Bombyx mori: one gene and its partners. The main gene of each other region encodes a partner of the protein of the gene in region 4 in a complex. Links are inferred from orthologs where the notes say so. Each region holds a gene or a part of one and is shown on either strand. Other genes may lie near its edges.

Region 1 (4,080 bases), on a different chromosome or scaffold from region 4:
GTAAATGCGCCACCCACCTTGAGATATAAGTTCTAAGATCTCAGTATAGTTACAATGGCTGCCCTACCCTTCAGACTGAAACGCATTACTGCTTCACGGCAGAAATAGGCAGGGCGGTGGTACCTACACGCGCGGACTCACAAGAGGTCCTACCACCAGTAAAGCTAAGTACCACCAGTAAAGTAGGCTTTGTTCAGTATCCTTTGAAGAAAAGTAAAATATTTTACATAGAATTTAAAACATTTTTACACTAACTTGTGGCGGGAATGGATGTAAATATGCAGGGGGTGGTGGCAACGTCCCAGGCAATCCAGGAACTGGTTCCAACATGGGTACACCATCATTCTTCTCAGTAAGTCCTTGTCGTCCTGTTATATACAACAACATTACACACTCATAAATATTACGAAATATAAACTTTTACTATCATATTACAGATTGAGGTCTTTAAATTATACTAGTTTGAGTACAAACCTCATTTCAGAAAATAACTTGCAAAAAACATATTGAATACTTTTTCATAAATGTAGTGTATTCTAACATTTTGTAGTTACCAGGTACTCTCTTAGAAACTTGCACAATGCAATAATAATGTTTTGTTACCTTGCGATTTACCCCATTTGATTGTCAGTCTCTTGCCAAAAATAACAAGACGATTGAAAGTCTTTTCTGCAGCATGTTCTGCAGCATTTCTTGAAGTATATTGCACAAAGGCACACTGGGCTCGAGGTACAAGAGTCAAACATCTGAAAATTCAATAACTTCTAACATAGTGCTAATTTTATCAAACAAGTCTAGAATAGTGATTTGTTTTCTAATGATACACACATTTCTAATGACAACATCACACCATTAATTTCATCAGCCTTGTGATGATGATCAAAATCTCAATTACATTAATAGATAATAAAAAAATACAAGGGAATACTACTGTGAACTGATGAGAAAAATGGTTGTAGCAACTTAAGATAACCACCAATCAGATATCGGTCTTATTTTAAAAACCATAATACTAGGGATGTACTATGGTTTACTTGGTACATAATCCTTAAATTAAATATTAGTTAGTCAACTCTGAACATATGAGAATACTTTACATTAGCTGCATAATTTAAATAAAAAAATATTTAGATTATTAAAACATAATTAAGATATATGCAGTGTATATCACCAGACACAATTATGAGTTTATTTCTATGAACTGTTTGTTTCCAGAGCATTGTTATTTGTTGTGTTAACTTGTCAAACTTACCTAATTTCACCATATTGGTAAAAGTGGCCTCTAAGCTCGTCCTCAGTGACATTATCAGGAAGATTACCAACATACAAGGTAGTAACAGTTTTGTCTTCAGGTGGAGGTAGAGCAGGCATTGCAGCAGCACGACGCATAAGCTTCTCAGCTACTGGATCATTTACACCATAATACCTGTGAATAAAAAATTATGAAACCTTCAACTTTTTTTTTAGAAACACTAACAGCTATTTACTGTAAAATATCAAGAGATATTCAATAACAACTATGATATTGCTGTTATTTCACATACTATTATTACAATGGAGTTTCAATAACTTAAGCCTCATTAATTCGCAATCTTTAGTCAGGATTTGGTTCATTTTTGGAACTCAAATGAATAATTGATCAAAATCTATGAATACCTTAAATCGAAAGACTTTTTGTAATGCAATTTACTAAAATTCCACTTTACAAAGACGTGTTTATTTTTATTTTCACTAAGCAGATGTACAGAAAACTTATGTGACTAACCTGTCTTTAATGTTCTGATCAGCTAGTGGATCATCAGGATCTGTTGGCTTCTCGTGACGATACGGACATTCTTCCCCTCGTCTACATTCTCCTTTGACCCAAAACGAGCACACGTGCGGTCTATTCCTCTTATAATATGGAGCTGTTCTAGCTAACCGCACCAACAAATCGGACGATCCTTTAGATTTTAGAGAATTGGTTGGCTGTGTTGGATCAGAGTTAGACAGCTGACTCTCCAAGTTTTGTATGTAATATTCCTTGTTTACTTCGTTTCGAGGTAGGTCATCCTGAACTTTTAATGCAGCATCTCTCACTTGGATTGGCAGACCATATTCCAAATCCAATAAACATGTTTGACAAACATTTTTCAGTTTCGAACAGGTCTGACATATTTCTGTTTTCTTGAAACGCATTCTTGCTCCGGGACACCATCGAAACACTGTGAAAGGTCTTGAGCATATTTTACATTCTTTACCGTATTTTTCTTTAGTCTGAAAATAGTTAAATGAAAAAAAACAATCAAAGTTGTCGAAATAATGTTATCGGAAACCACAATACATACCATTCTAATGTAAGGGTTATCTCCAAGACATGTTTGGCACAATATTGGAAAATCCTGCAAAAATATAACATGGTTACTACCACAATGAGATAATGATAATTGATAAGCTTCAACAATATACTCACGGCGTCTTCCCAATTCTGACGATTGTATGTGTTTGTTGACTTCGATGTAGCCATGGCGTGTCCTTTCTTGATATTATTTTAGATTCAACGCAGCTTAACTGTGACAAAAATAATTGTTGAATTGAAATGTAATTTGTATTGTAAAGTTGAAATGTAATTTAGTTTAAATTACCCTATCAAACAAAACACTTCTTTCCCATTTCTACATGCAACTAAATCACAAAAGTATTTAGTTACCAAGGTACGTCATTGAACATTCATTTTGTAATGACAGATTTTCACTCTGAACGAACAGCACTGAAAGTGTATAATCTATGGCACTGAACCGTCGACAGTCGACACTGGGATGAACATAGAGATTATTGATTTTTTTCGCTTAAACAGACAAAGAAATCAAGAGCATACAGTTCTTTTGCAATGGAAAGTAAAGCCAAGCCTATTCTATGTAGAATTAAGAAACTCTATGACTAAAGTAGTTGAACTACTTGGACTTCAAAGGAAATCAATTCAAATAATCTTTCAGTAAAAGGGGAATTCTCTGCAGGAAATGCAAATTTCATAGGAATTAAAAAATATCAAAAGAGCGGTGCTACTAAGAGCCATTTCCTCAGATCACTAATATCGTTAATTTGCTACTACTACAACACTTACGTAATTTGACTAAAATTGTTCAACAAGTCAACGAAGCTATAAAATGCTATATCAATTTCCAGTTTTCAGCTTTATAAGTCAAATGGCCGTCACTGCCGGCGTTGGAACACCAGGTCGATGTTTCCATTCTTTTTCCACTTTTTAAATAAATAAAAAACTTCATAGCGAAATAGAAAGACTCTTGGTACTTAACCGTACTAGGTTATGTTATGGTGAGCTGAGCAGAAACAGTGAAACAGTGTAGAATTAGCAATGTTTCTCAGGTTGTTTGAGTTTTGAGTTCTTTCTGTGTTTAACTTCTGTTTTTACTACTTTCTATTAATTTTCATTACATTTCGAATAATCACCTTCAGGTCTTATTATGATTACTGGTGGTAGGACCTCTTGTGAGTCCTTATGGGTAGGTACCATCGCCCTGCCTATTTCTGCCGTGAAGCAGTAATGCGATTTGAAGGGTGGGGGCAGCCCTATACTTGAAACCTTAGAGCTGATATCTCAGGTGGGTGGCGCATTTACGTCGTAGATGTCTATGGGCTCCAGTAACAGGTAACACCAGGTTTGCTGTGAGCTCGTCCACCCAACTATGCAATAAAAAAAATAGAATACTTAATTCTGGATAGTTATTGATCTATTACTTAAATCTTACGATGAAATTTTATAACTAAAATCCCATAACGAATAAATGTACTACTGAGAGAGGGCACATGAGAAATTAATTAGAAAAGTATTAGTAGAATTATTGCTTGAGGAGACAAATTTGAACCTAATACCAAACCATCTTCACGGATGGATACAAAGTTTTTTTTTGACGAGCCAACGGCCTACCCGGTGTTAAGTGGTTACCGAAGCTCATAGACATCTATAACGTAAATGCCATCACCCACTTCGAGACATCTTAGTTTTTACAGTGCAATGGCTGTTCCACCCTTCAAACTAAAACGCATTACTGCTTCACGGCAGAAATAAGTAAGGTGGTA
Region 2 (2,602 bases), on a different chromosome or scaffold from region 4:
CAGTCTTGGTTGGAAACGAACGTTTCGGACTCGAACTTGACAGCTGAAGACTGGCCGTCGTCTAGTCCCTATCTTAATCTGCTGGATTATAATTTATGGTCAGTTTTAGAGAGTACGGCTTGCTCTAAACGCCATGATAATTTGGAGTCCCTAAAACAATCCGTACGATTGACAGTGAAAAATTTTCCCATGGAAAGAGTGTGTGCTTCTATTGATAACTGGCCTCAACGTTCAAAGGACTGTATTGCAGCCAATGGAGACCACTTCGAATAATCTTTTAATACTTTAAATTGTTTTATATTTATGTTTTAAACTAACACACTGTAAAAGTAATAAACGTTTTTGCAATAGATTTTTTTTTTCCCTTTGTCTCAGTATTTATGGCAAGACTAGGTAAACTCACAGTCTTGAGTAGAACCAAAGCACTGGTCTTCTTCACGTTCTTGTATTTATTTAATTTTCAAATAGTGAAGTTTTGAGAATAGTAATTTTATTTATTGTTTTAGAAAATTCATACAACACGAAACTACAATTTCAAAAAAGCAACTCTGTCCCAGTCCTAAAAGCTTCAGTTCATTTATAGTTATTAAAAATACATCTAGTACTTACAATTGTGATCCGTTAGTATTGGTTCCCGAGTTAGCCATAGACAAGACTCCTCGTCCGGTGTGGTGCAAGTTTGGCTTAATTTCATCATCAAAAGGTTTCTTCCAAATGGATTCGCCTCCCAACCCTGTGCCCGTTGGATCTCCTCCTTGAATCTATATATATAAAAATGAATTGCTGGTCGTTAGTCTCGCTAAAACTCGAGAACAGCTGGACCGATTTGGCTAATTTTGGTCTTGAATTGAATGAAGGTTTAAAAGGTAGATAAATATGAAAATGCTCGGAATTAAATAAAAATAACAATTTTGTTTTCCCTTTGAGTTTATTTTTTACAAAAGTTTAGGTTTTTTGTTTATCGAGGCACTAAGAAGTCGGCCGCGTCAGCTAGTTTAATAAAAAAATCATATATTTTAAACAGGTAAGTTGTCTAATCGCCAGACGAACTTCACGGTCCATCTGGTAATAGACAGTTATAGACAGTCTAAAACTAAACGCCTCTGGCATGATTGCTTTGTGTTAAAAATAGACAGAAAAGTGAGACCATAGGTCATAGGTTCTGTATCCTCTTATCACCTGTTTATCCCAAAAACCATATTGCAGATATAGTAAGTAGTTCTGAGCTTACAATAGAATTACTCTAGACACACATCTGTCTCTAATTCAATTTGTTTGTTCATTGATAGTTTTCATTAAAATAATAAAGCTAGCTGTCCCAGACCAACTTTTTTTTCAAAATGAAGGATTACTGGTGGCCTTTCCATTGTCACCAGGACAGGTGGGCGAGCAAAGGCTCAGTCAGGAGGCCATATCGAGAGGTGTAAGGCTATTTGGTTTAAGCGATATTTCGCTTTATACGCAATGCAATAATAATGTTGTATCTATTATAAAAGCGTTGCAGAGATAACACAAAGGCAGTCAGTAATCGCATCTACTCGAAGCGAAACAGCGAACGGATCACCTGAAGCGAAGCGGAAGAAGTGAATTAAGAACTTTAATGTTGTGGTTTTTTTTTTGCTTGGATTGGTGGACGAGCTCACAGCCCACCCGTTGTTAAGTGGTTATATGCGTTAATACAGTTTTAAATTGTACTTCGGTAGAATTTTTAGTTATCCCGAATCCCAACGCGTAAAAATATTTTGTCCCAATTATAAACTTTAAACGGTCCTCCTGTAATGTAGCAAAAATGTCGCTTAAGCCCTTCGATCAACAATTGTACTATTGTTGATCGAAGCTTAAGCCAAATGGCCTTTCACCCCTCGATACGTAGTTTAATTAATCAAGATGTCAGACACTTTTTTTAGGACCTCTTGAGTCCACGTGGGAGACCACCACCCTGCCTATTTCTGCCGTGAAGCAGTTATGCGTTTCGGTTTGAAGGGTGGGGCAGCTGTTTTAACTATGTGGGCCTGCGGAAGAATTTCGATTCCCGCGGCCCCGCGTGCACGTGTGGTGAGGCACCAGGGTGGTTTTAGCCGGTAGGAGTCCAGCACGCCCCTCCGCCTTTCACCAGGCGGAGGCAATCCATGAGGATTTCTCCCCGAAAAAAAAAAGCTGTTGTTACTATACTTGAGACCTTAAACTTATATCTCAAGGTGGGTGGCGCATTTACGTTGTAGATGTCTATGGGCTCCAGTAACCACTTAGCACCAGGTGGGCTGTGAGCTCGTCCACCCATCTAAGCAATAAAAAAAGTTGAAGTTCTGCAAAGCAGAACTACCAGTCTTTTTACACTAGTCGTGGTATAAAACTCAACGCCACTTAATATTTTCATCAACTCACCATAAAATTCCTGATAGACCTGTGGAACTTTGTTCCGTTGTAGTATCCATTTTTACAATGTGTCATGAAGTTGTGACAAGTTTTGGGCGTTACGTCGCAGTACAATTCAAAGTTCAGATGTCCTACATTTGTTACCAGTCTTACATAACCTGAAACAAACATTGTCTGGTCTTAACAATCTTGCCCTTACATTACTCTTCATGAATTAAAGAGTGAT
Region 3 (3,664 bases), on a different chromosome or scaffold from region 4:
GCTGTGGACCTGCCCACTCAAGGTAGGCCGCCGCCGCCTGCTCCGCACTTACCACTGCCTCCCCTCTCACGCCTCACTCACAACGCCGCAATAATAAAAACATTCAACTTCGCCGGACACGTCAGTCTGGTCAGTCCGAACTCCGAATGTTAATAAGTTAATTTAATAATTATTTATTACTACCATTAACAATGCAGTTATGTACTTTAACGGGTGGCGTATTGATTATCAAATCGGGGCAGTAAGTTTGAATTTTTTGTAAATTAATCTCTTTAATACCTTCCCTAATTTAGTTTGGATACCCCAACTACCAAGATTTTTACCACTGAAACTCAGAAGTTGAGTCTCAAATTTCGAACCCGAAAGCAATGTTCGTTGTTATATGAGTAAATTAGACACATTATGCTAATGAACTGACCTCTATCTGTTGTTGAGGAAACAAACATTACTTTTTATCAGTAACGTGACATTAACTTGAAAATAAACTTTATAAAATACTATTTGTTTTCATATAATTTATTCAAAACAACAAAATGACATTTTTTTCATAATATTTACTAAAATTATATTGGTTTTCGTCAATCTTTTCTTTACGTGTTTGTAATATCCATAGTAGCATTTCCACTTCGTTATCACTATTCCGCTTACAATAAGGTATAGAATCGCTTTTAACAACTTTAAATTTAGAATTACAATATCAATAATGATTTACTATTTCACGTACTTTTCCATAAATTTCTTATGGAACTCTGATCTTAATGAGTCATTTATAAAAGTATTAGGTTTCTTTTCCGGTTCAGAACGAGCGCAATTTTTGAAAACAACGTCATCATCCCATCTTCTTTTTACCTGGAACAACCCAAAAAAAATATAGATATAATATTACGATTGTCCTTTTTTTTTATTTGCATAAATGGGTGTACGAGCTCACAGCCCACCTGGTGTTAAGTTGTTATTGCAGCCCATAGACATCTACGACGTAAATGCGCCACCCACCTTGAGATATAAGTTCTCAGGTCTCAAGTATAGTTACAACGGCTGCCCCGCCCTTCAAACCGGAATGCATTACTGCTTCACGGCAGAAATAGGCTAGGGGATGGTACCTACCCGCGCGTACTCACAAGAGATCCTACCACAAGTCGTTACGCAAATTAAAATTTGCAGGTTTGATTTTTATTACACGATGTTATTCCTTCACCGTGGAAGTCAATCGAGAATATTTATTGAGTACGTATTTCATTAGAAAAATTGGTACCCGCCTGGGATTCGAACACCGGTGCATCGCTCAACATGAATGCACCGAATGAGTTATCCTTTAGGCCACGACGACTTCTTAAATTCTTCTTAATCGACCCTCATAGATGAAGGTTGTGACTCTCATAACTCAGTCAGTCTCTCTCTAATGATATCATGTAGAGGCCTAATGACGAGTTGTGCTGAGTGGTGCCTCTGGGCGTTCCAATACCGGATTCATCCAATGCTTGAGCAGATTATGTTAATGTTCTTAAAATCACTTTCAATTACTTTTGCATTTTTGTATGGTATTTATTAGTGGGTGTACAAAATCACAGTCCCTGTGGTGTCAAAACAGCAACCAGTGTTTATAGAACCGAAAATGTAAAATAATGAATCAACCAAAGTCTAAATGAAATTATTTAATAGTCTTGAATCCTCAATATCTGCCGCTACATATGCATAATGAAAGGAAAAATAATTTTTTTGTGCATTATTAAAGTATTCCCTGTGGAGTATCAATGATATTGATTCAAATACAAGTAAACCGAAAACAATAGCAACAATACGTTTTAATAGTTATTTTTATAGCATAGATAGGTGAACAAACTTATGGCCAACCTGGTATAAAAGGGTTATCTGGTAGTTGTCAGTATACTTCACCAATGAGATATCAAAACAGATACTGATTGAATATTATTTGCACATGTTTCAATACACATCATATTATTATCATATGGCAAGGATATCTAAAATACCAATACACAACAAAAGCTCTGAATAATTATAATCTAAGTGAGACCCAAGTTTATAACCACTTAACACCAAAAAGACAATGCTAGACATACTTGGAAGAATGAAAAATAATATCTTGAAACAGATTTGAAAAGTACCATAGTGTACCAGAACAGAAACATACAACACATACATAAACATACAAACACATAAATATGCCATAAAAAAAGTAAAACACAGATAGTATTGTTACTATGGAATAACAAAATAACAAAAACAAAACACCAGCAAAACAACAAATGCCAATTAAAAGATGCATTTAAATTATTTATCAAGATAATCCTGGTCAATGTGTAATTTAATAATGTAGTATCATGAAACTGACTAGCCAGAATGAAGAACTTGTACTACAACAAATGAATACCTACCCACTGCAGAAACTAAAGGTCATCTACACTTTTTTTATTCCTTTGATGGGTGAATTAAGTTCATGGCCCATAGAAATCGACATCTTAAATGTTGTCACCCACTATGAGACATGAGTTCTAAATATCAGATTTTATACCAAACGAAAACACATTACTACCCCATTCTACTGCCATTCATTAAGCAAATTATAATTTTGGTGGGTTCGATCTTTATTAAACACTATTTGTTCATGATGGAAATCATTTGTCAATTTACGTTAAGTATATATTTCATTACCATTGGTACCTGTCTGCAGGATGAGAGCACCGGCACAGTCACATAGCTTTATACAAATGCACCGGGAGTCTTTATCTTTTAGGGCACAATTACTTCAACATTGATAAATACAACATCAATGACATCTGCAGTTCAGTTCAATCACCAAACAGTTATCAGGAGTTAAAACAAAATTCATTTTAATGTTTTTAATTACCTTCATGTCATTCTTCTGTCCTGCAGCGGAGTAGTTGAGTAAAGGATTACCCGATAATATGTTCTCCATTCTAATTCTTTCCTCTTCTTGTTTCTTTTCAGCTTCCTATAAGGTAAAACAAAATTGATTTGTGCAACAAGGTTTATTTGTTATTTGAATTTTATTTAGTTTGGGTATCAAAATACACTAAAGTACACTAAAGTTAGACAAATTAAAAAAAATATATATTGTAAAATTTAATTTAAACATACTTTGTGTACATCAGTACAAAAATAGTCTTATAGTATAGTATCTAACTCTAGTATCTAAGATATATCTTACTTTTTTAGCTTGTTCAATGGCCCTTTCCTTCTTAATTCTGTTTAATTCTGCTAGCAATGCAGCAGTATCATCATCTGAATCATCAGAGTCAGTGGAATCGCCTTCAAGAGGATCATCAGCATCAAGACTTGCTGCAGGAACTTGATCAACCTTAGTTCTTTTTGCTTGTGGTTCACTTGTACGTTTTGTAGTCGTAGTTTTAACATCTTTTTCTCTATCATCCAACTCCTTACGAAAATCACGAGAGCGTAATTCCTCAGATGTCCCTTGACCTGATTCCCTATTAAAATAGATTTTAATATTTGACTTTTTCTTTACATTTTGGTGCATTACAAACGTGGTATTTATGCTTTGAACGAGTTATACATTGTGGTTTTGAAGGGTAGCGTATTTTCTAAAACAATAATTCAAGTACTCTACCTTGTCTCAAGATGGCTTTTTATGAGGTCCGTTAAGCACTTACCACCACGCGGG
Region 4 (4,177 bases):
TGGTGGCCAGACATTAATTTGACACAGCGTTCTGTTGGTGCAAACGGTCTAACGTCCCAAATACGGAGTGTATTATCCATTGAATTGGACAGGAGATATGCACCATCCCATGACAATGATAATCCTGGAAACGAGTATTGCAACACAAGTTAGACATTGCCAGTCATTAAATGTATCAAACTCATATGATTTCTATTCACATATTTATTGCCGCACCTGGGTAGATGACTTCACGATCTACAAGTAAACTAAACAAGTAGTCTTAGTCATGAATTATTACTACTTATAAGGCTAGAGACATTCTAATAATAGCTGTTACATTTCTCTAAAATTACCTAATACCAGTTTGGGCTACCGAAGGCAGAATGGGTGAAGAAGTTTACAATACACCCGTCAACAAGTAACAACAGGGATTATAAAGAGAAATACATATGTATGCAACTACTACTACTGTACTGCATACCAATCAATCCATTCTCATTTCCTCATAAGATCAATATTTGTTAAATACATTGTATGGTAATCAGTATTTTAGTAGTTAACTAATAGACTGAAGTCATTACTGTCATCATATTGCCCTCACTCCACTCTAGATAAACTGTATCAATATTTTAATTTAATTTCTGGTTGCAGTATTATCACCTAATAAAAATCTAATTAATCAGAATCAATAAAGAATTACCAACCTGTAACCGTGTCTGTATGTCCTTTTATTTTCAAGGAAATCTGATTATTCCTTATATCCCACATTTTGATGACATTGTCCACACCGCTGGATAAAATTTTTTCAGCTGTATCATTGAAGAGTACACTTGTGACTGGATATGAACTGTCAAACGATGCAACTGGATTCCTTTTCCTTGCATCCCATAATTTTATGGTGTTATCATCTGAAGCTGAAACTAAGAGTTCTGGACCTCTTCTTGCTCCTGGATATAGAGATAACACGAGAAAGTTAGAATAGATTGTTACGTTGTCTAAACCAATTTTTTAATGGATGCCATGAATGAATTTACAGTTCTATTGTATCCACAGGCATTGAGATTTTAGATTGATGTTATCTGGTTTCAAACCATGGTTACGGATTATAGTTTCAATTTTAGGTCAATCCCACTTTATTTGGATCCAATCACTTTAAGGCTCTGAGAGTGCAAAGTAATGTTTAATTAAGTTACTGTTGTGTATTTGTACTACTAAAAAGCACTAGCATGAAAACCATTGTGTGTCAAAACTCAAACTATGAAACATACCTGAAACAGAGTTCACAAAGTTAGCGTGACCCTTTAACTTCTTGATTCTAGTCCCGGTGGGTACGTCCCATACTGCTACAGTATTGTCCGTAGCTCCAGTGTACAAATGTGAACCATCAGGTGAGAAGCAAAGCTGCATTATTGCTCCCGTGTGACCTTTCATCACCATCACATTCTCGCATTGACCATACACATTCCATATTACTGTGAAAATAAGAAATCAAAAATCATAATATTACTAAGTTGGACTTGTACAGCTTATAAGTTGTCAACATGACCCTGACATTGGTGGAAATTTTCAATGGTATAAACATTTATTTTGTATTTTTTTATATTAATGGTGGCTTAAGCTAAACAGTTTATATCAGCTATCATTTTGAGTATTGTATCATATTGTTCCCTACATTATAGGGCTCGTGTCACTAAAACCCCAGTACAGTGTGGCCCATGCCTGGGATATTGGTACTGGCAGTCATTCTTAATAATGCATATTAAATCAAACTGAAATGGATTTGGACTTCAGAGAAAATTTAAGACGCTGTAATATAATGTCTATGGTCTCCAATAATCACTTATACACTAGGTCAGATTTTACCTTGTTCACTCTTTTCAATTAAATTTAAAACCTACCTACTGTAATCTTATAATTTGTGTTATCAAATGTGTCAATTCTTCATTAACGTTTTGATAGTAGTATATTATTAGAGTGTGAATTTTAGAAACACTTTGCCAATTCAAAAGCTTTGTCATGATTTTGTTACTTACATATTTGTCTGTCAAAGCCTGCAGAAGCCAAATGTTTGCCTTCAGGATGAAATTTGCCTGTGAAAATTTCTCCTTGGTGTCCTTCCAACAACATAATTGGCGCATACAAGTTTGATGTTCGTGGAACCTAGAACGACAAGAATATAAAATACAAAACACAGGAATCTTGGAATCTTGTTGATCACTACAAATGTTGAAAAATAAATCTTAAAGTAAAAGCCGACTAAAATTCGTATTACCTTAAATTTTAACAAATATCAATCATGATTACCTAAGTACAGATTGTGTTTTTCTAAAAGTTTATTTTAGATGTTATGTTCCATTTCTAATAATTATAATTATGATCTCTTGATGCTTTCACCGTGGCGTTAGAGTTCTTAGCTTTTATAGACCGTACTATTGAGAAAATAAGTAAACTTTATTGAAAACAATACTCACAGATGAAGTAACAACTGCCTTTTCTCTGGTGCCGACTACTGAGATCTCATGCCGTACTCGCTTGGAGGGTACAAGAGACACATCCTCTGCTTTTCTTTTAGTTTCTATATCTGGCATTTTTTAAGATGTTTATTTACCTATTTGTTTTTATAGCTACAAACAGAAATACTAACCTTAAAAATGGTATAAGGACTGTTTAGCTTGTTTCATTTGTCAATTGTATAGGCAAAAGGAAAATAGCCAATATCGCCAAATTCTTTGTAACAAAAGACAAAGCTACCTTCTAAAAAGTTTTTTTTTTGTATACCTATTCAGATGAGAAGATGAGATAATGAGTCATTCAAAATGAAGAACTTAAAGTGTTTACTAGAGCCCATAGTCATCTACAATGTAAATGCCGCCATGCACCTTGAGATTTGAATTCTAATGTCCCAGTTTTTAAAGTACAATGGTTTTTTTTCGGGCCCGGGGCCGATCCTTCTAAGAGGTCCCCGCGCCTAAGAGGGCGTGAGATATGTGGAACTTTACGATCTGCAGGTTTTGGGAGCAGACCGCGGGCCCAAGGAGTTTTAGGGCCCTACCGCACTAAACGACTCCCTTGCACATTTACACCCAACGTCCGATCTCCGTCCGGGCTCAGAATCCGGACAATGTAGGGGGGGTTCCCGCGGTCAACACTATAACCAGACACGCGGCGCCCCTCCGAGGACCCCTGACCGACGGGTCGTCGAGACGGTAGTCGATGACCAATGACGCTGGTCTCCGCGGTACGGTGGCCCTACCTGGCCGCCCGGGCGATGCCGCTGGTGTTCTGGGATACTCTGCTTGGCCAAAACCAGCCTGATGGGTCAGAACGCGATACACCTCCGACCGCGTTGCTCTTCCACAGTATGTTCGGCGACGATAGTGACGACGACAATGCGGACCGCATTGCAGGCCGTAGTCGCTGACGTGTTGTCCCGTCCTCCTTGTGCCAGCGCGCTAGAGTGATGGTAGGTAGCGTGCGGCGCAGCCTCAACCCCCTCAGGTGAGGGAGTTGGCCCGGGGGAGGCCCCGTGACCATCACCGGGAGGAGACTGCCTCCTCAAAAATTCAATGGTTGTCCCAGCCTTCGAAATGAAACGTATTACTGCTTTATGGCAGAAATAGGCAGGGTGGTGCTACCTATCCGTGCAAACTCACAAGACGTCCTACCATCAGTAATTATGCAAATTATAATTTTGCGGGCTTTGTTCTTACTACACGATGTTATTCCTTTACCGTGGAAGTCAGTTTAGTTGATATGTACGTATTTCATTAGAAAAATTGGCACTTGCCTGCGCAATTCGAACATCGTTACATCGCTACATACGAATGCACCAAACGTCATATCCTTTAGGTCACGACGGCTATAAATCATTTGTTTAAGTTACAATTTTTTCACGTGTAGCCCCGATCGCTTTGTTTGTGTAATGAACTTTTAAAAGAGACGAGAACGCATTTTTTTTTTTTTATTGCTTAGATTGGTGGACGAGCTCACAGCCCACCTGATGTTAAGTGGTTACCGGAGCCCATAGACATCCACAACGTAAATGCGCCACCCACCTTGAGATACAAGTTCTAAGGTCTCAAGTATAGTAACGACGGCTGCCCCACCCTTCAAACCGAAACGCATTACTGCTTCACGACAGAAATAGGCAGGGCGGTGGTACCCACCCGCGCGGACTCACAAGAGGTCCTACCAC
Region 5 (4,009 bases), on a different chromosome or scaffold from region 4:
AAATTTTTGTATAAAAATATGTTCCATGAACAATGAATGCTCACATATTTATTTTGACTTTAACTATGTAACTTTTTTTTATTACTTAGATGGGTGGACGAGCTCACAGCCCACCTGAAGTTAAGTGGTAACTGGAGCCCATAGACATCTACAAGCAAATGCGCTACCCACCTTGTGATACGAGTTTTAAGGTCTCAGTATAGTTATAACGGCTGCCCTACCCTTCAGACCGAAACGCGTTACTGCTTCACAGCAGAAATAGGCAGGATGGTGGTGGTACCTACCAGCGCGGACTCATAAGAGGTCCTACCGCCAGTGATTACGCAAATTATAATTTTGCGGGTTTGATTTTTATTACACGATGTTATTCCTTCATGGTGGAAGTCAATCGTGAACATTTGTTAAGTACTAAAGTAATAGAGAATAAGTAATAAAGTAAGATTAAGTAACAAAGATTACTTATAATTTTAAATTAGATTGCCGTAGATATGTGTAATATTCTTTTTTTTTATTATTTAAATTAAATTTTATATTAATAATTCTAACCTTTCCTTGACACAACTTGAGCATTCCTGCCTGAAACATCATCTTTCATTTTCTTAAACATCTCCTCTTCTTTCTTTCTAAAGTCATCGTTTTCTTGCCTCAGCTGCTTGGCATCTTGTAATCCTGCTTTCTTTCCTTCCAAAGTCTTCTCCATTTTTTTATGGGTTGGAGGGGGACTGTCATTCTTGTTAGACCTATCTTTCCTAGGAGGAGAAAGATCAGAATCGCTATTATTTCTTTTTGAACTTCTGTCTTTTCTTTTACGTTCAGAGTCATGCCTTCTGTAGTTATCTATATTCTTAAGCTTTCGCGGTGGTGATAAATCCGAACCACTGTCTTTTGTGTCATTCCTCCTGTGAGGTTTTTTGCTTACATTCCTATAGGACTTGTTTTCTGCATATCTTATATTTTTACGGGGAGGAGATAAATCTGAATCACTATCATTCGTTTTTTTTCTTAGTGGAACATTTCTACAGGGAGATTCTGAGATTTGTCTCTTACTCTTTCTTGGGGGAGACATATCAGAATCTGAATTTGATCTGTTAGATCTTTTGTCATACCTCGAACCATAATCTGTATCATTATACTTTTTTAACTGGCTCTGTCTGTTATCGTGACCAAATTTAGATTTCTCTGGGGATTTTTTTCGCCTCGGAGGTGAAACTGAGTTAAGTCTATTTCGTTTTGAATCATCTTTTCTAGATTTTCTGGGAGATGTCACATCATATCTTTTTTGAATTTTCATATCTTGTCCTGAAGAAATCTTATTCATTTGGGTTTTCCTTAGAGGAGACAAATCAGAGCTCTTAGATCTTCTGTGGTTATTAGCTCTTAAAGACTTTGGTGACTTATCCTTCTCATTGTCCCAACGACTTGGTTTTTTAAGTTTTTCAGCTCTCTGACCCTCATGCTTTCTAGGTGGTGAAAGATCAGAATCATATTCAGTAGTTCTTTTAGGAGAATTATTCCTTTTCACTGGATTCCCTCTTCTTGGTGGGCTGAAGTCGCTGTCACTGTTGTGTTTTTTTTTGCTTTTAGCTCTTCCAGACGGCGAAGCTTCTGAAACATTTGGCTTATCATCTTCGGAATCACTGTACATTTTTCCAAAGACCAATTCGTTTTCTTTCTCGGTTTCCTTTACATCTTTCTTTATCTCTTCAATTTGTAGTTTGCTGTTGAATCCGTCATCCTGTAACGATTTTCGGTGTCTGTTATAATCGATGAATAAGATTTCTATTAGAATGGTTTTTTAATATGTTGAAGGCTTGACAGTAAAAATAAAGTAATAAACATGTGTACCTGATTCACGATCTTCCATTTAGAACTAGTGGTGAATTGTTCCTGTTTTTTTATATGCTCTGGTCTTTCATCGATGATACCTGCTACTTGCGGTGCGTCATCACCTTCATCATACACATCTAACTCGTCACCCTCAAGGGGTCGTAGCTTCGATAGGTCAATGTCATCGTCTATTATTTTGAACCTAAAATTAGATGAGAAAATACATTTTTTATATTCACTTTAGTGTTTCAACAGGTAAGGTTATTTGTCATCTGTATCTTTCACTAATGAAAGAATTTTTTTTTGTTCTTTATTTGGAACTGACGTTTGCGTCTTTGAAGGAAGATGAGCCGAGAGTGATGATATAGTTAATGTACTGTTCGAACCTTATTAGAACAACATGCTTAAGCAACCAAAAAATTCATCCATACTGAATGAAAATATTGACAGGAATAAGAAATTTGAAATTAATTCGCATTTGTTATGTATTTCATTATACAAATAATCAATACTTACTTAAAATACAATAACTTGTAAGGAGAATACGTGAAAATGTACATGATTTTTTTTTCAATTTTAAAATGCATTTTAGTGTGACGACAGCACTTTAATATAATGCCAAAATACAATTGTAAATATCAAAACGGTAGATATTTAAGGTATTTTTTTTAGAAATAGTAAATTCTTTCACGTTTAATTTCAATTATTGTTCACATTGTCTACAGTTGACTTACCCTTTTCCTTTTAGCACTTTTTTTTTCTTTTTCTTTTTATCGCCCGATGGACCAGCCAGGTATTTTTGCAAGTACGCTTTCTGGTTTACAGTCGTAGCCATTATTAAATAAAATTTCAAATTATTTAATTTAGAAAATTAATTTGACGAACTTTATATTATTATGTGTATTATCTATGGTATCAATTTAGACAAACACAAATGTCACAAATCAACATTCTTTCAAATGTTTCAAAGCCATAATACACTTTTTTTAAAGGGATTTTATGTCCTGGTAACTAAGACTTTTGGGTCATGTCTTATTTTATATTTAAATTCTTATTTTTATGAAAAATGATTTAGGGAGTCAAATGAAATAAAATGAAATGAAGATGATTAATTTGAGACATTAATCAACTGAGATGAAATGAAATAAATTGAGATAAGATAACATGGGATGAAATATAATCTCAGTAAAATGGTGGTTATTTACTGAGACTTCTTTAGTGGGCTTTTTGGAGGATCCCTAGAAGCTACGTCCAGCGGCTTTGTTTCATTTGTGCACTTTCACAGATATTAAACCATTAATAATAATAATAATAATAATAATAATGTTTTTATTTCAAGTATCCATGACTCATATAAATTGTTAATAAGACTTAGACCTATGTTAGTATTTATATTTACATCACAATGAATTACTGTGGTAACATCCCATGGGAGATGGCACCACAGCGACCCATGTATATACAGTCCAGCCTGCTTGCGATCATGCTCAGGATACTGTTGGAGCTGGCCCTCACTCTGTTTACCAGAGATGCACACCTTTTACGCATGGTAGCGTAAAAACAATCTATGTGCGCGTCTGCAAACATCCCTGATGCGCTACAAAAGCGGGGCAGCACCACCAGCACCCTAAACGCGTTATTGTATTGAACACGGAGAGCATTGTACGATCTTTGAGTATATCCAGCCCACAAGCTGCACGTGTAAAAGTTAGTACAGTAGGCCCTAAAGAGGGTGACCTTGACTTTAAGTGAACACCGTGCAAACCTGCGAGCTATCATGTTTGCTCTAACCGACAACGCTCTCCGCTCTCGTTCAATATCTTCATCATCTTTGAGATCAGGGGTCAACACATGGCCGAGATATTTAAATTTATAAACTCTTGTCAATGGCGTTCCGTTGAGTACTACGGGAGGTATTTTATCATGCGTCCCACCCCTGGTCTCAAAGACCATGATCTCCGACTTTTTACAGTTGTACACCAAACCGTGTGATTTGGCGTATCCCTCACACAAAGAAACAAGTTGCCTTAGGCCACAGATAGACGCGCTCAGCAGCACCATATCGTCTGCGTAGCTGATGTTGTTTACGCACACCCCGTCTATGAAACAACCAATCCTGGTCCTACTGAGCTCGCCGATCAGCTCGTTCATATACAGGTTGAAGAGCGTAGGCGAACTCAAC
Region 6 (4,142 bases), on a different chromosome or scaffold from region 4:
GAGGATCCGAAATGACGTGTTTAGGGCTTCTCGTCCCTCTTGGCCTTGGCACGACCGTTTATCGGTCTTTTACTGGTATTTTACTGGTGGTAGGACCTCTTGTGAGTCCGCACGGGTAGGTACTACCGCCCCGCCTATTTCTGCCGTGAAGCAGTAATGCGTTTCGGTTTGAAGGGTGGGGCAGGCGTTGTGACTATACTGAGACCTTAGAACTATATCTCAAGGTGTGTGGCGCATTTACGTCGTAGATGTCTATGACCTCCAGTAACCACTTAACACCAGGTGGGCTGTGAGCTCGTCCACACATCTAAGCAATAAAAAATAAAAATAAAGTATTTTTGATAATGGTTTTTTTTTTTTTCAATGATGAAGATATTGCAACACAAAAAAAAGGATCTACATCAGCATAAAACTTGTCATTTATTCTACTTTTACTTTGTTTAATATCAGGAAGAACAGCATAATTCCAAAAACACATGAGTTATAATGTAATATGTATAGTTCTTATTTTTATATAAAAAAAGTTACATTACTAAATTTATGATGACTATGATGTCAGATATGATTACAAATTACTAGACCATTCAGGTGGAACATTATTTTAAATTAAACTAATATCTGTATTTGGTAGAGTAATCTTTCGGTGAGACAACAAGACCTCGTCCTTTTCTTGCCCCTCTGTACACAGTTTCAATAATATCAATCATCTCCTGCTTGTCTTCGAGAGGCCAGTTGATTTTATTGTTGTTGCCAGTCCCCAAGTCAATCATTATGTGTTTGTTGCGGAAGAAGAACATCACTGTGCATGGATCGTATAATTCATACCTAGAAATAAGTTTAAATAATATTATTATAGGCCTTGCTTAGTCATTTTATATACTAGACCCTTTCTACTAGACTAGAACTTTCAACCTTTTTTACTTAATGATGTATTAACATACTCTATATATACATGACACCCTTAAATGCAAAGATTTATAGTTGGGAGTGATGGTTGTTGGTATTTACATCACTCATATGTAATACTGTTGTATGGTTAATATTTAATAAACAATTGTATATTTAACCAACATGTATCCCTGAGATGCAATTTCCCAGATCACCTTAAATAAAAATTGAAATATCGTATTTCTAATTTTCACAACACACTTGACTTGCAACATTCCAGTGATCAAGAACTGCTGTTCTACTCTAGTCTTAAAATCAACAATTTGAAAAAAATTATTAACAATGTAGATAATGAAATTCATTTACTGTATGAACCAGACTTATTAAGAATTCCTAGAAAACTCATAGTTCTTTGCTTCTTCACTTATGATACTTTTTTAATAATTAATAAAACAACAAATTTAATAATACAACATAATTTCCTTAAAACACTGGAGGTAGGAGGACTTGTGTATTCCACAAAGGTTTTAAGAAAACCTATCAAAATCTTAATTTCAGAAATAAATTTAGAACAAGTAGTTTTACGGTATACTTACATTTTATTAAAATCTGGAACTTCTGTAATGTCAACTAAATATATGACAGCAAAATTTTTTACTTTTTCCGCAATGCTGTATAATACTTCATCCATTTTCATACATGTTGGGTCCCAGTCGTGTCCAAACCTTATAACCTAGATATGTAAATTAGAATTAATTACATTTAATATAGTTGAATCATAGGGCAAGACAATTAGGCCACTAATTAAATAACTATTAACTGTTTTGGCTCAAAGCATTTTGTTAGTTCCTTTAATTCAAAATCTATTGTTTTTTATACTAGAAGGTTGAAGGTCTTGGTTTCTACTGCATTTATATACTTTAACAAATACCTATTGATGTAAGGTTAGAATATAATTATTATTTTTAGTCTTCAGATACTAAATCTCAGATTTCTACATTCTATGAATCTAGTTAAAACTCACCACTACACGGTCTTCTTCTGATAGAATGGCCTGATCTACTTGCCAACCATTGTGTAGATGTCCTAGCATATAACTCATTTTGCAAATAAACTACTTTACGTATTATTTCAAACAAACGATTATTCCTGTATTCTTTTTTCTGGAAATTGCTATTGCTATGAGCAAAATATAATCGTGTTGTAGGACCACTGAACAAATATTGATATTATTTTGCTCACTGAAATTTGCCTTTCACATCTAAGACATTCCAAAGTTATTTTATTCTCACATTTTGTTTCTCGTCACTGTTCACGTTTTCTATAGAAGTGTGTTCAAAAAGTTTAGAGCAGGCGTTGTCTTTTTTGTTACTTCATAACAAAAAGAATGTTCTGTGAAATAGAGAACTTTAAATTTATAATTATTTAATAATATGTAGGTATTAAGATATGACTATTCTATGAGTAAATTTACAAACACTGACTTTTACCAGGTCATAAAATACCTTAAAAAAAATCACAGACCACAGTATGACGTATGACAGTAGCAGTTCCATTTTCCAACAAGAAAGGCGGAGGTATCAGTCCATACAGCGTAATCTTTCATGGAATTATTCTGTTATTTATATCAATTTAATATGAAGTTAATAATGATATGGATGAAATGAGGTGAAGTTTATTTATTTGAGGCTTTAATGTTAATCATATATTTTATCGTTACAACTCTTATAGGTACAACAAGGTATTTAAATTAAATTATATAGGTATAGGATATAGGTTATAGGATTTAAATTAAATAAAATTAATAATTTTGTGCAGCGACCGGCGCGGCGCGTGCGCGTTATTCAATTTTTCTTTATCGACCCTCCGTATTTTTACGAATCCTGCGAGGCGTCGCGGCGTCGGTCGCACGGCGTTGTTCGACACTTTAGGGTTCCGCTTAGCGTGCGGGTGTTGTAACGTAATGTTACAACTGAAATCGTCTGCAAAATAAAAAAAGAAAATAAAAAAAACCTTAAAACAAAAGTATTTATGTTCAAAGCAGTTATTTTATCGATTGTACCGCTGAGGTGACAACAATAGTTCCCACCTCCCCCCGAGACGTAGGTTCGGCTGGCGCAGACACTGCGCAGCCGCTGCGCCGGCAGTCGTCACTAGAATCGACATCAACCCCACGAAAAGCACAGCGGTGCTCTTCAAAAGGGGTCGCCCTCCGAACACCACGCTGAGCATCCCCCTCCCGACTAGGCGCGTCAACACCTCCGCCCCCGCCATTCGCCCAATCACGATGTTCGACCAGCCCATACCGTGGGCCCCGAAGGTCAAATATTTAGGCGTCACCCTCGACAGTAGGATGACATTCCGCCCTCACATCAAGACGGTACGCGACCGTGCCGCCTTCATTCTAGGACGTCTCTACCCGATGATATGTAGGCGAAGTAAAATGTCCCTTAGAAATAAGGTGACACTCTACAAAATTTGCATACGCCCCGTCATGACCTATGCAAGTGTAGTGTTCGCTCACGCGGCCCGCACTCACTTAAAATCGTTCCACATTATTCAATCCCGTTTTTGCAGGATAGCCGTCGGAGCCCCGTGGTTCGTCAGGAACGTCGACCTCCATGACGACCTGGACTTAGAGTCCATCAGTAAGTATCTACAGTCGGCGTCGATGCGCCACTTCGATAAAGCGGCACGACACGAGAACCCTCTCATCGTGGCCGCCGGTAACTACATTCCCGATCCTGCGGACAGAATGGAAAGCAGTCGACGTCGCCCAAAACACGTCATCTCGGATCCTCCCGATCCACTAACGGTGCTTCTAGGTACTTCAAGTACCGGTCACCGTTCTCGTCGAACCCGTCGCTTGCGACGAAGGGCTCGACGAGTAAATTAACTCTCAGACACAGCCCACTGAGTTTCTCGCCGGATCTTCTCAGTGGGTCGCGTTTCCGATCCGGTGGTAGATTCTGCGAAGCACGGGTCTTGCTAGGGTTCGTGTTAGCAACGTCATCAGGTTTGAGCCCCGCGAGCTCAACTACAAAAGTTAGGGTTACGCTGAAATAGCCTCTCAAGGCTCTCAGCGTAGGTAGAAAAAAAAAGTGTGTGTGTCCGCTCCGACGCACGACTGGAGTTTACTGGATATAAATATAAATTTGTGTCAGTTGAATACAGTAAAATATGGAAGTTACGTATTCTAGTGAGAATGATCCGGGAGTTGCGGAACACGTGGATGCGGTAATTAAGTAAGTCTA
Region 7 (3,978 bases), on a different chromosome or scaffold from region 4:
ATAGAACTAAAAATATTGCCGCAGCCGCGATCTCCTCGATTTCCATCATCGATACCTAGACGTCTTAACATATCAGTAGACAGTCAGTAAATAAACGTTCACGATTGTGTGGAGAGTTGCCCCATCATGGCGGCGATGATGGACGATTGTTTGTTGGCCTATCATGGCCGATTGTGAAGAGGAGCCATTAAATATAATCTATTGAGTTCCATCGTCGAGTTTCACTACGACCGGCCTCTCGTCTTCATCGTCAGCGTCTAGACCAGTGAAATCCCATTGCAATTTGTCGGTCAGGTTATCTTTGAAGCGTTCAATCATCGTCAAAAGTCTGCCGTCGACTTTGCTTACGTAAGCCGTGCGGAAAAACTCACGGAGTTTCTTGTATACTAAATTTTTATTCATCACTATATCGGCTAAGAAATCTTCGGGCATCTCTTCGATTTGCACCTCAATAGTCCTAATGAAGTGAAAGAAAACACTTCTGTATTTGTGTATGGCCTCGTCACACGAACATATGAGTATGACGAGGCTCTTCCAGTGCTCAAAAGCCTCTAGGGAGTGCCCAATCAAAAAGCACAAATATGCGAATTGCAGTTCTCCTATGATGTGTAGAGGTCTGAAAAATAAAACACGTATATAGAATTCTAGATTTTGGCTTTTGTGCATTTAATCATGTCAAGAGTCGAGACTTGACTTTAGCTTCCTGATAACTTCGGCACTGAACAATGCTTAAAATATCCATCATAGACATTCAACTGTATATGTAATCAACATATGAATGTAGTATGTAGTCAACAAAATTTTATATTAAGATACCCTCAAATTTCTCTTAAAATACTAACAGTTAATAAAAATAGATACTTACTCATTATGCTGTGCTATCATGAGCTCTAATGAGTATGACTGATCTAAGTAATGTTTCGTGATCTCCTCTGGTGTTGCATCCGGTGGATATTTATCTTGAGGTATTTCTGTGAATCTCATAGCAGCTCCTGTAAAGATTCACATTTTAGAATTCTTTTATTTTTTTTTATATTTTTTATTGCTTACATGGGTGGACAGACGACAGGCTCACGGCCCACATGGTGTTAAGTGGTTACTGGAGCACATAGGCATATACAACATAAATGCCGCCACCCACCTTGAGATATAAGTTCTAAGGTATAGTCAAACCGAAACACATTACTGCTTCACGGCAGAAATATGCAGGCTGGTGATAACCTATCCATGCAGCCTCACAGGTCCTACAATCAGTAATTAATTAGGCGTGTAGTTTTATTTTAGTAGATATATAGGGGAAAAATATTATTTACATTTATCTTTGTTTCATTAATTTACCTGGAACTGGTTTCAAATCTGGTAACAATGACTTTTCTTTCTCTTCCCTTGTGATTCTTTTAGCTCTCTTAGCACTTGAGTGTCCGGCAATCTGTTCTTCACTGAAATCCTCTTTAGTGGGAGATTTTTCATTCTCCTGACTTATTGAACTAGATGAAGACTTGACTCCTCTTGGTCTTTCTGCATCAGTCATCGATAAAAGCTCAACTGATGCTCTTATCATTCCACTTTCTGGTGCCAATTTTGCTGCTAGTTCAGCTGACAATAGAAATTAAACTTAGTACAGATTATTGATATAAGATTCTGGAATAACACAATATTTTAGTTTCTTGTATGAATTGTTTTTTCTGATACAAGCCTAAGTTTACGGGGCTCAAACCAGGAGTGTTGCTAACACTGCCTCTAGCAATAGCAGTGCTTCGCAGAATCTACCACCGTATCGGAAACGCAACCCCCTGAGAAGATCCGGTGAGAAACTCAGTAGACTGTGTCTATGGGTTAATTTTACTCATTAAGCCCTTCATCACAAGCGACGGGTTCGGCGAGGACAGTGACCAGTCTCAATATGCTCCACTATGCCAATATGACCAGGCTCATAATGTGAACTACCACCAACTTCAACAAGACTAAGTTCATTCAAGATTTGTAGGGCAAGTATTTCTTTAATTGAAGACACCAACCAGTGATCTGTGAAGACAGTAACTTCCACTTCTGCCATATTTCATATGGATATGGAGCAAGATGTCGGTCCAAATTAAATAAATTATCTTTCAAACGTTGGATGCTCTCATCACTGATCTCTTCCTTGCTCAAATCTTCAGTTTTTTTGTCCCACATTTTCACAAGAAATTCTTTTTTGTGAAAGTAATGCATGAAGCCAGATCTGGAATTTAATCAAGAAAAGTAATTTATTTAGGTATGCAAGTAACAATAATATTGATATCAGTCTCATATAAGTTCAATAACAATACACGAAGAAACTTAATAAGCTGTATACATATATTTTGTGCTTCGAATATGTAAATTCTGAGTGTAAATCTGATATCGAATTACCATATTAAAATTAAGTGATAAGATTCCAAAAACAACCTCCAAACTTGAATTCCTTGTATAGTACTAGGATTGTTTTTTTAAAGTATATATAAAACGCACTTACCTAGGTGCAATATCGCCAGTACCTTTACTGACAGCAGAGTAATGAACATAATGTAAGCCTGGAGGAATCATTTTAACGCCACGAAAATCTTCCTCCGTGTTCCAGCACTGCATATCGATGCCAAACTGGGTTTCTGAAGGGACTCTCAAGAATACAAACGTGCCCCCTTCCACTAGCAGCTTTTTCGCTGTTTCTTGATCCATATCCAACTATGCTCCCGAAACAATGAAATATGAATTAATGGTATGATAAAAATACATACAATCAATCAATCAATGTGTTTACATTCGTGAGTGTCAAACGTCAATGTCAAAATCTCGACGCGTGCCGATTTGAATGTTTCTGAACGTGAAAGGTAGGTACAATGCAGACTGAAGTGAATAGATTTTTTAATAATTTTCTTAGGTTTGAAATAATGTTTTTGTTCTCAACTATGTAAAACAATGTTTTAAACATTAAAAGCACCATAACCCAATACGATTGTATTTAACAGTAACTAAGTGTCTGTCTGTTATCGAACTAACCCCTGTATAATATATATTGTGTGCGTCTTATTTGTTTTAGGTAAATCAACAGAGATCCTGTCATCAAATATTCTTAGCTACTCACTTAATTCTTAGTGAATATCTGTGACCTTGCTCGTTCACGAAGCCCGCTATAGAAAGCAGAGTATTAAATACACTTGACATTGGCGAAATCTAAAAGGAAACGCCATAAGCCTAAGAGATAGATAGATAGATAGATAACTAAGTGATGTGTCCTTCACTTGTTCTATTTGTTTATTTTTTCAGCATGGCTACCTACGACTATCTTTATAACTCAATTCATTTGAAAAACTAAGTTTATAAATATATCATGTTTAATTTTCGGCATATTATTATTAAGTTAATTAATTTGTTATTTTAAATCTGTCTGCTATCTTAGGATTTGTTTTTCTACATGAGCACAGAATCACGCTTTTTATAAAGTAATTTCTCTAAAACATAAGACAGGAGGGTAGGTACATTAATTTATATTTCTGTAACGCTTAACGGAGCTACTCATAATAGAACAGAGAATAAGTCAGCAGAGCGTATATGAAAAACTTCGACGAAACTCAAATTTGATGAAATATATTGATCGTACGGACTTCTGAGACTCCCACCTCACCACTCGAATCTTAAAACGGAAGCGCATCTCAAAGCGTGCCCGCGTCGGGAGAACACGCGGTGAGATCTAATCGTGGTGCTGGGGAGGGACATCTCCTTGCGACTGTCGTTGATCTTATGTTAAAGGACAAGAGTTCGTGCGAGGCTTTGCGAACTGATTCTGGTGTTCCATGAGGCTGAGGAGTGCGAAAGGGAGTGGGATCTCTCTTCAGGTCCTCAGCGAAGAAGGCGGAGTGGGCGGCGCGGGCGCGAAGCTTCCGTTCATCTCCCGTAGGGGCCGTCAGGTACAGAGTCCAACACAACCCGTTCTGTTCCCCCCTCAATATTAAGAAACCA

The links.
Region 1: U5 small nuclear ribonucleoprotein 40 kDa protein (region 4) and pre-mRNA-splicing factor RBM22 share a complex: the UniProt entries of both Homo sapiens proteins name them as parts of the postcatalytic spliceosome P complex. The link is inferred for Bombyx mori from reciprocal best matches to the Homo sapiens genes SNRNP40 and RBM22.
Region 2: U5 small nuclear ribonucleoprotein 40 kDa protein (region 4) and RING-type E3 ubiquitin-protein ligase PPIL2 share a complex: the UniProt entries of both Homo sapiens proteins name them as parts of the minor spliceosome. The link is inferred for Bombyx mori from reciprocal best matches to the Homo sapiens genes SNRNP40 and PPIL2.
Region 3: U5 small nuclear ribonucleoprotein 40 kDa protein (region 4) and protein CWC15 homolog share a complex: the UniProt entries of both Homo sapiens proteins name them as parts of the minor spliceosome. The link is inferred for Bombyx mori from reciprocal best matches to the Homo sapiens genes SNRNP40 and CWC15.
Region 5: U5 small nuclear ribonucleoprotein 40 kDa protein (region 4) and BUD13 homolog share a complex: the UniProt entries of both Homo sapiens proteins name them as parts of the minor spliceosome. The link is inferred for Bombyx mori from reciprocal best matches to the Homo sapiens genes SNRNP40 and BUD13.
Region 6: U5 small nuclear ribonucleoprotein 40 kDa protein (region 4) and thioredoxin-like protein 4A share a complex: the UniProt entries of both Homo sapiens proteins name them as parts of the U4/U6-U5 tri-snRNP complex. The link is inferred for Bombyx mori from reciprocal best matches to the Homo sapiens genes SNRNP40 and TXNL4A.
Region 7: U5 small nuclear ribonucleoprotein 40 kDa protein (region 4) and protein AAR2 homolog share a complex: the UniProt entries of both Homo sapiens proteins name them as parts of the U5 snRNP complex. The link is inferred for Bombyx mori from reciprocal best matches to the Homo sapiens genes SNRNP40 and AAR2.

Annotation. Positions count from the first base shown.
Region 1 is NC_085127.1:4,267,745-4,271,824, forward strand, and holds the start of pre-mRNA-splicing factor RBM22, read right to left. Parts: upstream 2,801-4,080; 5' UTR 2,625-2,800; intron 2,551-2,624; 5' UTR 2,507-2,550; coding exon 2,453-2,506; intron 2,382-2,452; coding exon 2,328-2,381; intron 2,257-2,327; coding exon 1,766-2,256; intron 1,427-1,765; coding exon 1,253-1,426; intron 747-1,252; coding exon 604-746; intron 369-603; coding exon 256-368; intron 1-255. UniProt on the Homo sapiens protein: Required for pre-mRNA splicing as component of the activated spliceosome. Involved in the first step of pre-mRNA splicing.
Region 2 is NC_085116.1:14,595,389-14,597,990, reverse strand, and holds part of RING-type E3 ubiquitin-protein ligase PPIL2, read right to left. Parts: intron 2,535-2,602; coding exon 2,386-2,534; intron 762-2,385; coding exon 610-761; intron 1-609. UniProt on the Homo sapiens protein: Has a ubiquitin-protein ligase activity acting as an E3 ubiquitin protein ligase or as an ubiquitin-ubiquitin ligase promoting elongation of ubiquitin chains on substrates.
Region 3 is NC_085110.1:8,228,614-8,232,277, forward strand, and holds the end of protein CWC15 homolog, read right to left. Parts: intron 3,471-3,664; coding exon 3,191-3,470; intron 2,975-3,190; coding exon 2,870-2,974; intron 850-2,869; coding exon 712-849; 3' UTR 501-711; downstream 1-500. UniProt on the Homo sapiens protein: Involved in pre-mRNA splicing as component of the spliceosome. Component of the PRP19-CDC5L complex that forms an integral part of the spliceosome and is required for activating pre-mRNA splicing.
Region 4 is NC_085109.1:1,114,854-1,119,030, reverse strand, and holds the start of U5 small nuclear ribonucleoprotein 40 kDa protein, read right to left. Parts: upstream 2,801-4,177; 5' UTR 2,571-2,800; coding exon 2,454-2,570; intron 2,143-2,453; coding exon 2,016-2,142; intron 1,455-2,015; coding exon 1,251-1,454; intron 930-1,250; coding exon 687-929; exon of another isoform or gene 125-686; coding exon 1-124. UniProt on the Homo sapiens protein: Required for pre-mRNA splicing as component of the activated spliceosome. Component of the U5 small nuclear ribonucleoprotein (snRNP) complex and the U4/U6-U5 tri-snRNP complex, building blocks of the spliceosome.
Region 5 is NC_085130.1:5,568,827-5,572,835, reverse strand, and holds the start of BUD13 homolog, read right to left. Parts: upstream 2,801-4,009; 5' UTR 2,663-2,800; coding exon 2,562-2,662; intron 2,030-2,561; coding exon 1,846-2,029; intron 1,736-1,845; coding exon 547-1,735; intron 1-546. UniProt on the Homo sapiens protein: Involved in pre-mRNA splicing as component of the activated spliceosome. As a component of the minor spliceosome, involved in the splicing of U12-type introns in pre-mRNAs.
Region 6 is NC_085120.1:13,294,256-13,298,397, forward strand, and holds thioredoxin-like protein 4A, read right to left. Parts: upstream 2,801-4,142; 5' UTR 1,991-2,800; coding exon 1,913-1,990; intron 1,622-1,912; coding exon 1,485-1,621; intron 826-1,484; coding exon 612-825; 3' UTR 402-611; downstream 1-401. UniProt on the Homo sapiens protein: Plays a role in pre-mRNA splicing as component of the U5 snRNP and U4/U6-U5 tri-snRNP complexes that are involved in spliceosome assembly, and as component of the precatalytic spliceosome (spliceosome B complex).
Region 7 is NC_085115.1:3,919,477-3,923,454, forward strand, and holds the start of protein AAR2 homolog, read right to left. Parts: upstream 2,801-3,978; 5' UTR 2,698-2,800; coding exon 2,495-2,697; intron 2,222-2,494; coding exon 2,019-2,221; intron 1,597-2,018; coding exon 1,339-1,596; intron 993-1,338; coding exon 866-992; intron 617-865; coding exon 199-616; 3' UTR 1-198. UniProt on the Homo sapiens protein: Component of the U5 snRNP complex that is required for spliceosome assembly and for pre-mRNA splicing.